Caenorhabditis elegans: one gene and its partner. The protein of the gene in region 2 interacts with the protein of the main gene of each other region in a pairwise test. Each region holds a gene or a part of one and is shown on either strand. Other genes may lie near its edges.

Region 1 (6,641 bases), on a different chromosome or scaffold from region 2:
GAACTTTGTGTGTTTTTATGAGAATGTTTATTGCGTATATGCCAATACACGTCGCGGATCTGAAATTATTCAAATTTTGCAGAAAATTTCGGCAAGTTGAATTTCGTTCTAGCTAAACTTTTTCTGTGTCCTCTTTGTTGTATATTCCTGTTTTAATAGCAGTTCGGCATAAATAATCGATATAGCTTTTCCTGGCCTTGAAGTTATACAATATTTTTTTCATTATGCCGCGCACTTCTTTTCTTTCTGTTCCTTTACCGTAGTACTCGGGTCCCCGAAGTTCAGGAGCTATCTGGAAATTGTTGAAGGAATTGTTTAAAAATGAGTTTTGTTACCCAATTTTTACTCATCCACTTGTCGAAAGCCGCAATAGCTGGCTGCGTCCAGTTAAATTGTTCTAGATTATTCTTCAGATTGGTTTTCGAATCAGCATCATATGAATAATCCTTTAATCAGCATCATATGAAAAGAGGGCAGATAGCTCAGTCGGTAGTGGTGGCCGCTAGCAGTCTGGAGGTCACGAGTTCAAGTCCGGCCTCACCCCCTAGGTTCACCCAGCCTCTATTGGGAAGTGGAGCAATCCACGACTGGATTATCGGCCACAGTCCCCGGCTAGGACGTGGCTTAAATTACCGCCCAGAGGGATCACCACCAGGCAGTGTACCTGAATCCCAGATCCGCAGTGCATAGCACTTGAAGAACGGATCGTCCTTTAATCCTTTAATCCTTTAATCAGCATCATATGAAAAGGTGAGCAAATTGTAAACCTCGTTGCCCAGCTTCGGAGGTAGATGAGAGGCCAAAGTTAGAGTAATACTAAAATATGAAGTACAAATCAAAAACAACAAATAATGTGTTCCGATCATGATGAGTATATTCAGTTGCAGTTGCATGGACACTTTTTATACAAAATTCGCACTCCCTCGTTACTATTAATCTGACAATTCGGTGGATTAGTTTTGGTAAATTTTAAAATTTATTTACATGTAGTTTTGTGTAGGTTTAGATCACAAGATCAAACAAATAAAAAATTATAATGAAACTAGCGACAAAAGTTGTAACCTATTCTTTCAATAAAATCGAAGTTTTTTCTCCAAAAACTGTACGTAGATGGTTTTTGAATTTACGCTTTTTTGTCTGCAAATTTATTCGTTTTTCAGCCAGAACACTTATTTAAAAAAAATTAAGAAAAACTGAAGCAACGCTGGCTCAAATGAAGCTGATTTTTTGAATTTTTTACACTTAGATTAACAGTATTTGCTGTAGACTTACAAAACCTTGTGTAGATTTATAGAGTCTTGTGTAAATTTACGGGACATCTGAAGTCGTATAAAAATTTATTAATCGCAAATAAATTAAAATTTTAGGTGCTTAGCTTCTAAGCCTCTAAACCTTCATTCCCATAGCTTTCTTCCACATTTTTCTGATGAAAAGCAGAACTGGAACCTCTTGCCAGTATTGCTCCTCAAGTGAGTCGATGGCTTCTTCCTCCTGATCGCGAGTGAGATTTTTGTTGCTCAAAATCGCTTCAAGTTGAGCTTGAACTGAAGATAGTTGGGAGATGATTTGTGTTGTGTTTTTGCTCATGAAATTCTCATTATCCTGTTGTTTCTTGGTATATGCAGTGTACTGATCCTAAAATTAAAAGTTTGAAATTTCTTCAGCAATCTAAACATACCGAAAGATTATTGGTCTGAGCCCACTGTTGAAGCTGCTCATCCTTTTGAAGTTTTGTCAGCTGGGAATTGCGTACAATTGTAGCATAGGACTTTTGCATGTTATCTGGCAAATCCTTCACGAAATTTGGTTTGTTGTAACTAGCAGCAGCAGTCACAGCAATCAGAACAGCGAGGATAAAATAGGAGGCCATGTCTTCAAATAAGCTTTGATAATTTTTGATTCAAAAACATTGTCCTTAAATACCATGTATTCCGTGACGTATGAAAATCGTGTTACACACGACATATTTGCTAGCTTAAAAGGCTACTGAAGAATCAAGAGAATGCACTCAAAACATTGAACTCTGGCTAGACTTTGCGGTAAACAACGTGTTTTGGGAGCTGCAACAAATAGAGAAATTGGCTAAAAGTTCAGAAAACTCAGCGAAACACTGAGCAGAAACCATAGTAATCAGGAACATAGAATTATGAGCGGCCGACACATTATAGGTTGGATTTTGATAAGGCTCGCAGCCGACATCTTGCAGATTTACTCAAAGATTGACATATAATTGTTTAATGTTACTTTATAAAATTCAAGAAGGTCTTACAAAATTCAGTTTCTAGTTTTGAAAATTTTCAGAAAAAAAATTAATTGATATTTTTTCACAGTTTTTTAACAAATTGTTAATGGAAAAATGGAAAAACTAAAGGAAAAAATCTACATAACTTCACAAATATTTGAGAAAATATTAAAAACATTTAGATGACTTTAGAATGATGTTTATTTTGGTGAAAAAGTTTTCAAAAAAGTTCAAACAATTTTCTGAATGTCGAAAATTTTTGGAATTTTCCCAAGATTTTCAAAAATGAATTGTAAAATTATAATACTTGAAGACTGAGTTTTTACCTTTTTTTTTGACTATAATTTAATTTTTTTTAATTTCTGAAAATTTTTACAATAATTTTTGGATATTTTAACAATTATAGGAACCTAGGAAGCGGTCCGATATTTCACTTTTTTTTGACACATTACATCTTTCATGAAATATCCTGAGGCTGTTTTTAAAATTTTTTCAACAAAAACAATACCGCTTTTAATTCCATTTATGTGTCCTCTAAAGTTAAAACCATTCATTAGAAAAAAAAAACTTCAAAAACTTAAAATGATTCATAACTGTCATCATGGTCATCATCGATTCCCATTCTTTTCATGGAAACTTCCCGAATGTGGAACAAAACTGAAACTTCTTGAGGGTACTGGTATCTAAGAGACTGGATAGCCTGTCGCTTCTGAGCTCCCGTTTGATTATCGTTGTTCAGAATGGATTCAAGCTGGTTTTGAACTGTTGATAACTGGGAAATTATTTGAGAAGTCTGCTGGCTGACTTGTTGCTCTTGTTGGCTCCGTTGTTGTGTGTAGCTGGAGTATTCGTTCTGGAAAATTATTGTGATTTCAGATTTTTATTTTCAAATTTAAAAAATTCAAAATTTCAGAGAACTCACCGAAAGATTATTCATCTGAGCCCATTGCTGAAGCTGCTGGTTCTTCTGCATCTGACTTAGCTGATAGTTCTTAGCAATTGCAAAATAAGACTGTTGAATATTTCTCGGCTGATATCTCAAGAACATTGGTCCGTCGAAATCGGCAAAAACTACAGCGAACAGAGCAATAATTGAAAGGTAAGACTTCATTTTGGAGTGATTTGGTAAAGTGTCTCCTCAATTTATATACTAGGTGCCCATAGTATTGGCATAGTATCTGTTTGTGCCACTGGTGAACTTTTGTGTTTGCTCTTGTAGTCTTTTGAAAAGAGTTGTTAGGCAGTTAGGTAGTCTACGTTTATGAGTCACTGAAAAAAAATCATTTTTTGAAGAAAGATCAAAAGTAGGGGAACTTTTTAAAAAACATCTAGAAGTTTTCAGAAATTTATCCGAAATTGTTCAAAGTTATCTAGATGTCGAGATTCGAAAAAAAAAGTTTAAAAAACAATTTTTTATATTTTATTCTTAGAAAATGTGAATTTTGCACCAATACTTTTCTCAGAACATGAAGATTTGAATTCCCGCCAAAGAAATGGACTGAAAATTTTAATTTCCCTTTAAAAAAAACTGCAATGAAAATGCGAATTTCCCGTCTTTTTTTTAATTCCCAGGAATTTTTACCCCTGAAACTTTGAACATTCGCCCAAATTTTTTCACAATAAAATAAGTTTTCTAGTTTTCGCGGAAAATTTTAAAAACTTGCACTATTTTTATATTTTATATAAGTTTGATATATTTTTAAGTAATTATGAGTAACCTGAACCCTTTTGGTCATAGATTTTTTGACACACTGAGAGATAAGCACAAAAAGAGACACAGACGTCCAACGCATGTGCTTACACATTCAGCTTTATACCTTCTAGTCACAGACGCTGTCCCCCTCCGACACATTTTCCAAAACTATAAAAGATGTTGGAGAGCAGCTCAAAAATATCACTTTCATACTTATTCTTTACCTTTTCTCTATGAACCGCTTCTCTGGAAAGTCTGTCATCGTGACAGGATCTTCAAGTGGAATTGGTCGAGCCACTGCGGTGCTCTTTGCGAAATATGGAGCCCAGGTAACAATCACTGGTAGAGATGCTGGAAAACTCGAGGCTACCAAGAAAAAGATGCTGAAGGTCATGAAGAATCCGGAGAATGTGTGTGTTGTCGTGGCGAACTTGACGGATTCTGATGGGCAAGACGAGATTGTGCAATCGGCGCTCGATGCTTTTGGGAGGATTGATGTACTGGTAAGTGAAGGTATGCTTATCTGTTTAAATCATTAGAGATCCAATGTTGCGCGTCAAATATTATGTAGTCATTTTTGCTCGATTTTGTACATGTGCTTAAAAAATGTACTGCGCATCTCTGACCGCAGTTTTTTTAAACACTTTTTCTCACCTTCCAGGTGAACAACGCCGGTGCCAATGTGGTCGACGGTACCTTTAACACTGATCAATCTACCGAGCTGTACCATAAAACATTTCAAATCAATTTTGAAGCCGTCATCGAGATGGTGAAAAAAACCAAAAATCACCTGATCGAATCGAAAGGTGAAATTGTGAATGTCTCCAGTGTAGCTGCAGGACCACAGGCGGTTTGTTGCTCCATAAATTTCTACCAAACTAAAACCGGATATTTTCAGCTTGCTCCATCCCCCTATTACGCAGCCTCCAAAGCCGCCCTAGACCAATACACACGTTGCGTGGCACTTGATCTCATCTTGCAAGGGGTTCGTGTTAATTCAGTGAGCCCGGGTGTCGTCACGTCCGGGTTTCTGGGGGCAATGGGAATGTCGGAGCAGGTCCAGAAACAGGTAAACGAAATTGTTCCATGATTGCTGTAAATTTGATAGAAATTTTAGATCGAAGAGAACTTCACTTCTAACAGAGCCTGCATTCCTGCAGGAGTTTGCGGAAAGCCTGAGGACATCGCCGAGCTTATTATTTTTTTGGCGGATCGCAAGAGATCTTCTTACATAATAGGACAGTCGATTGTGGCCGATGGAGGAACTTCTTTGGTTTCAGGGCTCACCGCTCAAAACATTCAGCGAAACAATTGATTTTTCAATTATATTGATGTCTATTTGCAATTTAATAAATGAATATTTTTTTGAATTTTCAACACCCGTGACGAATACATGATTTACAGGATTTGTTTCTTATATAAATACAACTTTATCACTTTACCTATTTCTGTCCAAACAAACAACACATGAACTCTACTCTAAAACAGCTTAAGTTTTTTCGTATATGCTGAAAGATTAAATTTTGAAAACCATCACACCACAACCTTAAACAAAGTACATTAACCCTACAGTACTACTACAGTACCTTGACATTATCCATTACCAACTCCCAACGCAATATCCCTTCAAAAGCTGAAAAATCAAATTTTCCTAAACTACAGTAACCCTGCAGTAACCCTACAGTACCCCTACAGTACTACTACAGTACTTTGGCATTATCCATCACCAACTCCCAACGCAATATCCCTTCAACTACAGTTCCAACCGTTCCAAATGTGACTGAAATTGCAGTTTTAGCTGTCAATGAAAATTTATTCCAAAAAATTAACTTTTCTTTAAAAAAACAGTTATTTTCTGTTATTATCAGTTATTTTCCAGAAATCTGGCACATTTCAAACCGGAACTACAACACTGTTATTTGAACCAACTGATACGTGATTCACTATCCACATTGTACATTTTTGAGGAATATTATGACGTTATAGTGTTTTTGCCTACAATTTCCTAGTAAGTGGGAAGTGAATTTTTGATCTAAATTTTGTACTCGACTGGGCGTTTTCACGGAATTTCAAATAATTTCATGTATTATTACATTTTCAATTTCATTTACATTTCAGATTGGAATATGAAAATCGACGACATTGTTTTTCTGAATTCATCGGCCGTTTTCGCAATTGCTATCATCTTTCTACTCATATGCCTCATTCTCAAAAAATCTCCGCAATCCTTAGGATCATACAAGTATCTCATGATTTATATTGATCTTTTCGAGCTGGCTTATGCTTTTTTGTATTTTTTGGAAAAACCGGTAAGTTAATCGCAAATAGCAGCCTTGAAAAATTTGGAAATGCCAGAAACTTCTGACAAAAGAATCGGCATTTTTCTTGATTGTCAATTGGAAAGAATCGTTGTTTCCAAAGTTTGTAGTTTGCGTTCTAGACTGTAAGTTTTCAAGAGAGAAGCACAACTTACAATGTGTGTGCTATTTTGCAGTACTATTTGTTGGTTGCTTCGGATTTTCCATCGCGATTCTTGCACTTCACTTCATTTATCGATTTTTCAGCATTACAAAGTAAGTTGAAGCTAAGCTAACTATAATGATACTTTGAAGTTGTATTTGTACCATTAAATTCATAAGAGGCAGGCGCGGTTTCAGGACCTGACGCGAAATGTGGTTCTTTCGCCGTGACCGACACTTTTCAGGT
Region 2 (7,526 bases):
CGGGTTTGATCGACTAAAAGGCATACTTTGTCGCCTTCTCCCGGTGAACAGTCGACTGTGTTTCCTTGACGGCCACCCAATTGTGACATGAGCATTTCATGAGCAGGACCTCCAAGTGACATTGATCTTTGTCCACGATAATGACCGTCCTGAAAATTTAATTGCTTGGAATTGTAAAACGTTTATAATAATTGCGTATTGAAAAATAATTATATTTTAAATGACTATACCTTGGCAGAATGTTTCAGTGCTGGAGCAAGTGGAGGTGTTGTCAGAGATCTATCAGGATTTGATTCACCCGAAGAGGAGCAGCCTGCGTTACGTGCTGGGGATTCTGAAAATTGCAAAATTTCGTAATTTTTGCAACAAAAAAATTATAAAGCCGGGTCTCAACATGACTTTTAGGAAGTACTGTAGCCTTCAACTTGTTGTTTTTGCAAATTTTCAAAGTTTCGCTCCGATTTCACCGAAATTTAGTGACAATCTGAAGAAGAGAAAATTCCGCAAACAACGAGAAGTTGAGAACTACAGTACTACTTAAAGGCGCGTACACTTTTCCATTTGAGAAAATCTCTCGTGTCGAGACCAGGTACAGTATTTTTTAGCCAAAAATTTAAACTTTTCGAATCAAAAATTGGTTTTAGAACATTCTCAATTGCTTGAGTTTTTTTTAGCAGAGAAAAACTATTTACAAAAAAAAACTATTGGTCTAAAAAAACTTACCAGAAGGTGACGGACTCGTGTGTCCAGATGACGACGCGGATCCTCGTCCTCCCACAAGCGACGATTTACGAGCTGTCGAAGTGGAAGCTGATGGACCCGCTTGTGATGATGATGACGTGGCGGAGTAGGCAGGAACTGAAAAATTTGAATTTTGAAAAAAAAAAACACGGATTTTTAAAGTTTAGTTTATTCTGAATCTACCAACACAGTACTCAGAACTAACCCGAACAGGATAATGATGAATGAGGAAAAGTAGAAAATGAGCTCATTATAAAACGAGAAAACAGATGGAGCCAATAGAAGAGGAGATGTTATTTGTAGCTGTGGATAATGATTATATGGTGTTGGAAGAAGATGGAAGAAGTAAAGTGAGCGTCTAGCCTCTTTTCCTCCAAGCTAGGGGTGCGCAAAAAGGGGCGCAGCTGATACAGAGAAGCATCAGGGGAGAGTGCAGAGTTTGCAGAGGGTTCAGAGAAAAATGCGACGATATAATGATGACAATGGAGCGACGTATTGAAGAAAGATAATGTGGTGATGTGATAAAACTGGAGAGACGCCGAGAGAGATCATCAAGACGGACTGGATACGATGGGAGACGAAGACGAAGGAGGAGGGTCTAGACAAAAACGATGAACGGAAGGAAGCAAGGAATGGTGGTCGCTTCCTGTCCTACTTTAATCAAGTGCTTTTGCTCTTGAAAAAGTGTGTCTTTCTTTCACAGACTGTGTCAGCTGAGATTTTTCTGTCTTGAGCACGTGGGAATTTCATGGTGGTGACAATTTCTGTGTTGTATTACACAGATTCTAAAGCTTGGAAAGATCAAAATGGCAAACTTTGGAGTAGAATTTTCCTTTCAAGAAAAGTGCCTTTCATTTTGATTTTTTTTTAATATTTACAATGAATCATCACATTCTGTGTGTTTTTGTATGTTTTCAATTCATGCGTGTGCATGTGCCATCATCAATACTTTTTGTCGTTCGCTTTGGAGCTAGAATAGTGATAGAGCGGAGTAAAGTGTGACAAGGTAAGCAAATAGAACACTCTCTTTCTCACAAACACCTACAAAATTTGGTTTTTTTCAATTTTTAACTGAACAAGATAGATGATGTATACTATTTATGTGATCTTAGATTATATCGACCTTAAAAATTGCACTTTTAGGTTATTGATGAGAAATTTCTTACTTTTCAAACAGAAAATTGGATGAATCAGAGATTATATCAACAATTAGCTTTTTGGGTGTTGATCAGACAGCAGTGTAAAAAATCTTTAGCAAAAGTTAAATTCGAAGAAAAAAAAGCGACAAGATCCGATTCTCTACCAATCGAGACGAGAAATGAAAAGGTCACAGTGATGATGACATGACTTTACACCGAAAAACAGATGAGACAACCTCAACGGGGTAAACGACTACAGAGAAAAGATTGAAGATGAAGATGAAATGGGTCAGTTAATTTCTGTTTTCAAAAAAAAACAACACAAATAAATTGAACGGCGCTCTTACAATATACGCTGAGGGGGAACACAAAACAAAAAAATAAATGGTGGAAAATCGCCTCCAAACCCAGTGCAACGAGGGAGAAAGATTGGAAGAAAAAACATAGAAGAGGCAAAAAGAATGCGAAATAGCAGAAGAAGATTAGCCGGAGACGGACGGACGGACGGGTGGACGAATGGACAGCCGAACTGATGAGAAGAGGAAACTCAAACAATGTGGGTGAAGGAGATGGAAGAATGAGGAGATGGAGGCATTATTTTTGGTAGAGTTCTAGCTATAAAAGTGGGCAAGGTCATACATTTTAAAGTATCTGTGATGAAGTTGCAAACGGCTGCAAGTCAAGGGAGAATCCTTATGACAAAGATGAACTTTTTCTCACTTGAAAAGTAGAATTACAAAAATGATTTAGGGTTTCCACTTGAATTTTCTCCAAAATGAGAAACCACGCCAGCTAATTTTTTTTTGGCATTTTAAAGCAAAAACTACGGTATGGGACTATAAACAAAATTCTAATTACACTTTTTCAAAATTATGAAGTGCCAAGTCGTTTGGGGATGCGAAAACCCCAGAGAAGATGGTCCACAGAGTCCATCAAAACATTCACAACTTTTCCACATGACTCTTGAAACTTTTTATTTTGAAATCCGAACCCTTGAGGTGTCATCATGACGTAAATAATAATTCGGCGATGGATGGAGATATGAAAAAATGAAGAAAGTTAAGAAAACGGAGAGAGGGACAGTTGGCAACATTCGACCACCTGTTCACTTTTCTAAATTGTTTTCATTTTCTTCTTGGTCTTCGCTTTTTCCTCTTTGCACTTTTTGCCCAATAGAAAAGGATCTAGATAACTCAACTTTCAGTTCACAAACGAAAGAAAAACAAAATCGAGAATTCAGAATTATTATTCATCTTTTTATGAATCTATGATTATTTGTCAGATGGTCAAATGTCATTCAACGCCAATAAAAAGCATTTTTACAGGACAAAGACTCGTTGTATGTAATACAAAAGTCATTTAAAATTGAAATAAAATAGATAACATCAATGTTAAAAGTCTTCACATTTTCAGAAAACTAATCTCGTGTTTAAATTTTCAAATCCAACTAAATCCCAATCAGACTAAAAGGATGTTTTTGAGCTTTGACTCACCATTATCCGAAAATGTTACTTTCATCTCGTGGGGAAAAGTAGAAAAGAAATTATTAATAATTTGCACAGATATCCAAATTTAGAAACGAATTATAGCCTTGAGCAGGTGCAGAATTGCTTTTTTGGTTATTTTCTAAAACTCTAAGCCGATTTGTAATGATCGGATGTTTGGAGATTGAAAAATCTGGAGTCAATAAGCAAATATGTGTTTGTTTAAACATTAAAAACATATGTGAAGAAAAAAAGAGCGTTTTTCTTCTGCCAAAAGGTGAACGAGCCGGAAATAGTGATTTTCTTCCAATTTCGTAGAGCAATTTACGTCACAATGACGAGGGACACACAAAAACAAGAAAAGAAACGGAAATTTACCTTTTTTGAGTCCGGCAGGCGGTTGAGAGTGTGGAGTCGCAGGTTTAGCTCCAAATGACCAAGAAACCTGGAAAAATGAGATTTAGAGGCTATTTTTAGAATTATTGCGGTGAAAAGCGGAAATTTTTAATTTTAGTTTGCAATTTTTCCTCAAAAATACATTTCTGTGAAATACGAACAAGTGTGCGCTTTAAAGTTAATTTATTTCATAGTTTTTTTGCGAAAAAATGTTTCTTATACCAAAAATAACAATATAAACACATAAATATTAACGAATCGTGAGAAAAAGTAGAAAAAATTGATAAAAAATTCTGCAGGAGCGAGAGATTGAAAATACTGTACTTTTTAAAGGCGCACACTTGTTTGTTATCTACGAAACACTGTCGTGTCGATACCGAGAACCGCATTTACGGGTGTGCGCCTTTAAAAATTACTGTAACTTAAAACTTTTGTGGTATTTTTATCGACTTTTCATGGTTTTTATGTCTTCATATCGTTTTTTTTTGATAATTTTTATTAAAAAAACAAATATATTACCTGCTGTGGTGCACGAACAGTTCTTGTTGATGACGTGCTGGCATGATCTTTGCGAGATCTCTCGCTCTTCAGACATCCACGACTTGAAGAGGAACCGTCAGTTTCAGCCCCGGTTTTGTCTGAAAAAAATAAATTATTGATTTTTATTCAATCTGAATGAAAAATTCGAATTCTTACCATCATTATCCAGTGAAACATCAGATTCGTCAGAAGTGTTATCGAAGAGTCGTCGCGCAGGAGCATCTGGCACATTAACGCCATTATTTGCTGGGTTTCCAAAATTTGAAGATGATGGAATGTCTTTGTTCTGTTCTTCCGATTGAGACATGTTGTAGAATGGTGGAAGACGAAGAAGATGATAAGAGTGACAGTTTAATTACTGAAAATGTGCGAAATTTTATATAGTTTTATTTATTTAGGAAACAGATAGTGAAAGTTTGGGAGGAGTTGAACAGTATAAAATAAGAATGACAGGCAGAATGGCTGGGTAAATATTATTCAAATACAAGTATTTTCAAAATTCCGCAAATTTGAACAAGTTTTCATTTAAAAAACACATTTCGAACGGAAAATTTGGGTAAAAGAAAGCTTGGAACATAGTGAAAAAGGACTTTGCGAACAAATAAATTAAAATTTGCTTGATTTCAATTTGTTTTTTTCATTTTTTACAGAAACAACAAATTTCACAGCAGCGTTCTCCTGACTATCACACTTTTTTTTTGAAACAAAAACGAATAAAACAAGCTTGAAATAAAACTTTTGGTACCCAGACGTCTCTGGCCCCAAAAAATTTAAGTTGACGGGTGTCGACAGAGGGAAATGAGTGGCTTTTGGAAGGAGACCTGGGGCCACCAGTCAGCTTCTCGCTTCTTTTTTTTTCTCTAGCACTCTCTCAACTTTACAATACACTCTACGCGCTGCTGCAACTTTTCTGTCAAGTTGTCTGCCGTCTCTTCAGTTGAACTTGGTTTACTTTCGTGGCGAGACACATCAAAGTGACGGCCGACATGTGCCTTTGAGGCTGATGAAATTATTCCCGCAATTTCCAGAAATTTTTGCACTGATTCTGAAATAAAATGACGTTGCAATCTTTAATTTTACTCTTCGTTGTTCAAAAACTTTTCAATTTTATTCTCGTTACAATATTTCACTCTTCATTGACCAAATTTCGCAAATAGAGCGCTTAAATTCAGATTTTAAGTTAAGCATTTAAAATTAATACTCTTTTTTTTTAATAATAATAATAATTTATTACGCTCGCTGGGAGACGTGAAGGAATATAGAATACAAAAGTTATCATTGTTCGCTCGAACTAGAATTGGTGCAGTCGGGCAATCGTTTCCATTCCATTAGAATGTTGTCCTTGTCCTTGCGTTGTCCTTGCGTAGACTCCCCCATAGTGGGCGAGCGATTCCCGAGTGAAAATAATCACGGAATGCCATTTTTAAGCGATGCCATTTTCTATTTCTTGAACTATATATTTTTAAGAATATTTTAATCTGCGCTTTATCATGGATTTTCAATTCAACTTTATATTACTTTTCTAACTTCAATATAAAATTATTTAATAAATATATTTTTATTTTTAAGAAAATGTCCGAGGAGATCAAGCCTTCTGCTCCAGATGCGCCGACTGCTTCGCCAATTGTGACCAGAGACGAGCAAAATTTGGTTGTCTCATTCCTTCAGTTTATCCGCCAGAAGGTTTCACAAAATCAGGCCACTGCCGAGCAAGCGGAAGCTCTTGAAGGTTTTTTCCTATTTATTTCTATAAATTTAGCTTAAGATATATTAAAATTTCAGTTGCAATTCAATGTCTCGAACACTCGTTTGGTCTTGATGATGCCTCATACGCTTTCCAACCATCACGCCCAATTCTCGAACTTTTCAAGAGCGCCGAAGGACTTCCAGAGGGAGAATCTGCTCTTCCAACACCGAGCGATAGTGATATTTCTCAAGCTAACAAGCTTAAAGAAGAAGGAAACGATTTAATGAAAGCCTCCCAATTTGAAGCTGCTGTTCAAAAGTACAATGCCGCCATCAAGCTCAACAGAGATCCAGTCTACTTCTGTAACCGCGCTGCTGCTTATTGCCGCCTGGAACAATATGATTTGGCCATCCAAGATTGTCGTACAGCTCTTGCCCTTGATCCATCTTACTCAAAAGCTTGGGGAAGAATGGGTCTTGCATATTCTTGCCAAAACAGATATGAGCATGCCGCTGAGGCATACAAGAAGGCTTTGGAGCTTGAACCAAATCAAGAGAGTTACAAGAATAATTTGAAAATTGCTGAAGACAAATTGAAGGAGCTGGAAAGCTCGCGACCGGCACCAGGTGCCAATCCATTGGCTGGGCTTTTGGGAGCCATGGGAGGAGGACCGGGAGGAATGCCGGCTATGCCAGGAATGCCAAACATGCAAAACCTTATGAACGAGCCAGGACTTATGCAAGCTGCTTCACAGATGATGAGCGATCCAGCACTTTCTGATATGGTAAGTATCAAATTTTCGGGAATAAAAGATTTAATTGAAATGGCAATGCACGTGGCCGTCAAAATTAATTGTTTTTCATTATTATTGCTTGTTTTTTGATGATGTATGCTCTAAAATATTGAATTTTTCAGTTCAACAACATGATGTCTGGAAATGGATCAATCGCTGATTTGATGGCTGCTGGCCAGCAAATGGCTGCTCGCATGCAAGAGACCAATCCAGAACTTATTGAAAATCTTCGACGCCAATTCGGCCCCGGAGCCGATGGAGGAGCACCACCACCAAACCCACCACAATAGATAATCTCTTCCGCCAATCTCCTTCCGCATCACGAATTTCCATTTCGTTATCTCTCTCTCTCTCTCTTTCCCCTTCTCTCGTCTTTACTTTCTGCTCTCATGTGATTTGAAAAAGCCGAAGTCGCTTATGGTTACTCGTTTTTTTTAGTTTCTCTCGCAGAATTTCCCCTTACAATGATGATGTTATAATCGCCCCCGATTCAAGCCTTATCGAAATATTGTTTTTAATTAGATGGTCATGTTTTAACTACCAACAAAAAATTGGGTCAATTTTCTTTTTTTTCACGAATAATAAATATTGTCGAAATATTCTTTCCATCACAGACACACTGGTTGCAAACGCGCTCCAACACGAAATTATCGATTTGCACCCAAACGAAAGATAGCGCGGGAGTACTCACATTTTCTTTATTTTTGATTTTTTTGTTGAAATATTTTAGTATTAAATTAAACAAT

The links. The genes of interacting proteins can lie anywhere in the genome.
Region 1: the proteins of sgt-1 (region 2) and srlf-35 interact in a two-hybrid assay, tested with the Caenorhabditis elegans proteins (2 studies listed by BioGRID).

The regions. Positions count from the first base shown.
Region 1 is NC_003283.11:500,751-507,391, reverse strand, and holds srlf-35 (SXP/RAL-2 family protein Ani s 5-like cation-binding domain-containing protein), read right to left. Parts: upstream 3,365-6,641; 5' UTR 3,354-3,364; coding exon 3,165-3,353; intron 3,096-3,164; coding exon 2,820-3,095; 3' UTR 2,760-2,819; downstream 1-2,759. Other genes in the region: srlf-19 (SXP/RAL-2 family protein Ani s 5-like cation-binding domain-containing protein), read right to left, coding at 1,387-1,635, 1,679-1,870; T01G6.10 (DeHydrogenases, Short chain), read left to right, coding at 4,169-4,438, 4,597-4,785, 4,834-5,004, 5,053-5,250; str-256 (Serpentine receptor class r-10), read left to right, coding at 6,062-6,244, 6,291-6,378, 6,430-6,508.
Region 2 is NC_003280.10:4,902,140-4,909,665, reverse strand, and holds sgt-1 (SGTA homodimerization domain-containing protein), read left to right. Parts: upstream 1-5,869; 5' UTR 5,870-5,872; coding exon 5,873-6,029; intron 6,030-6,082; coding exon 6,083-6,771; intron 6,772-6,902; coding exon 6,903-7,070; 3' UTR 7,071-7,378; downstream 7,379-7,526. Other genes in the region: btbd-10 (BTB domain-containing protein), read right to left, coding at 1-149, 231-334, 724-858, 3,743-3,809, 4,280-4,398, 4,457-4,607.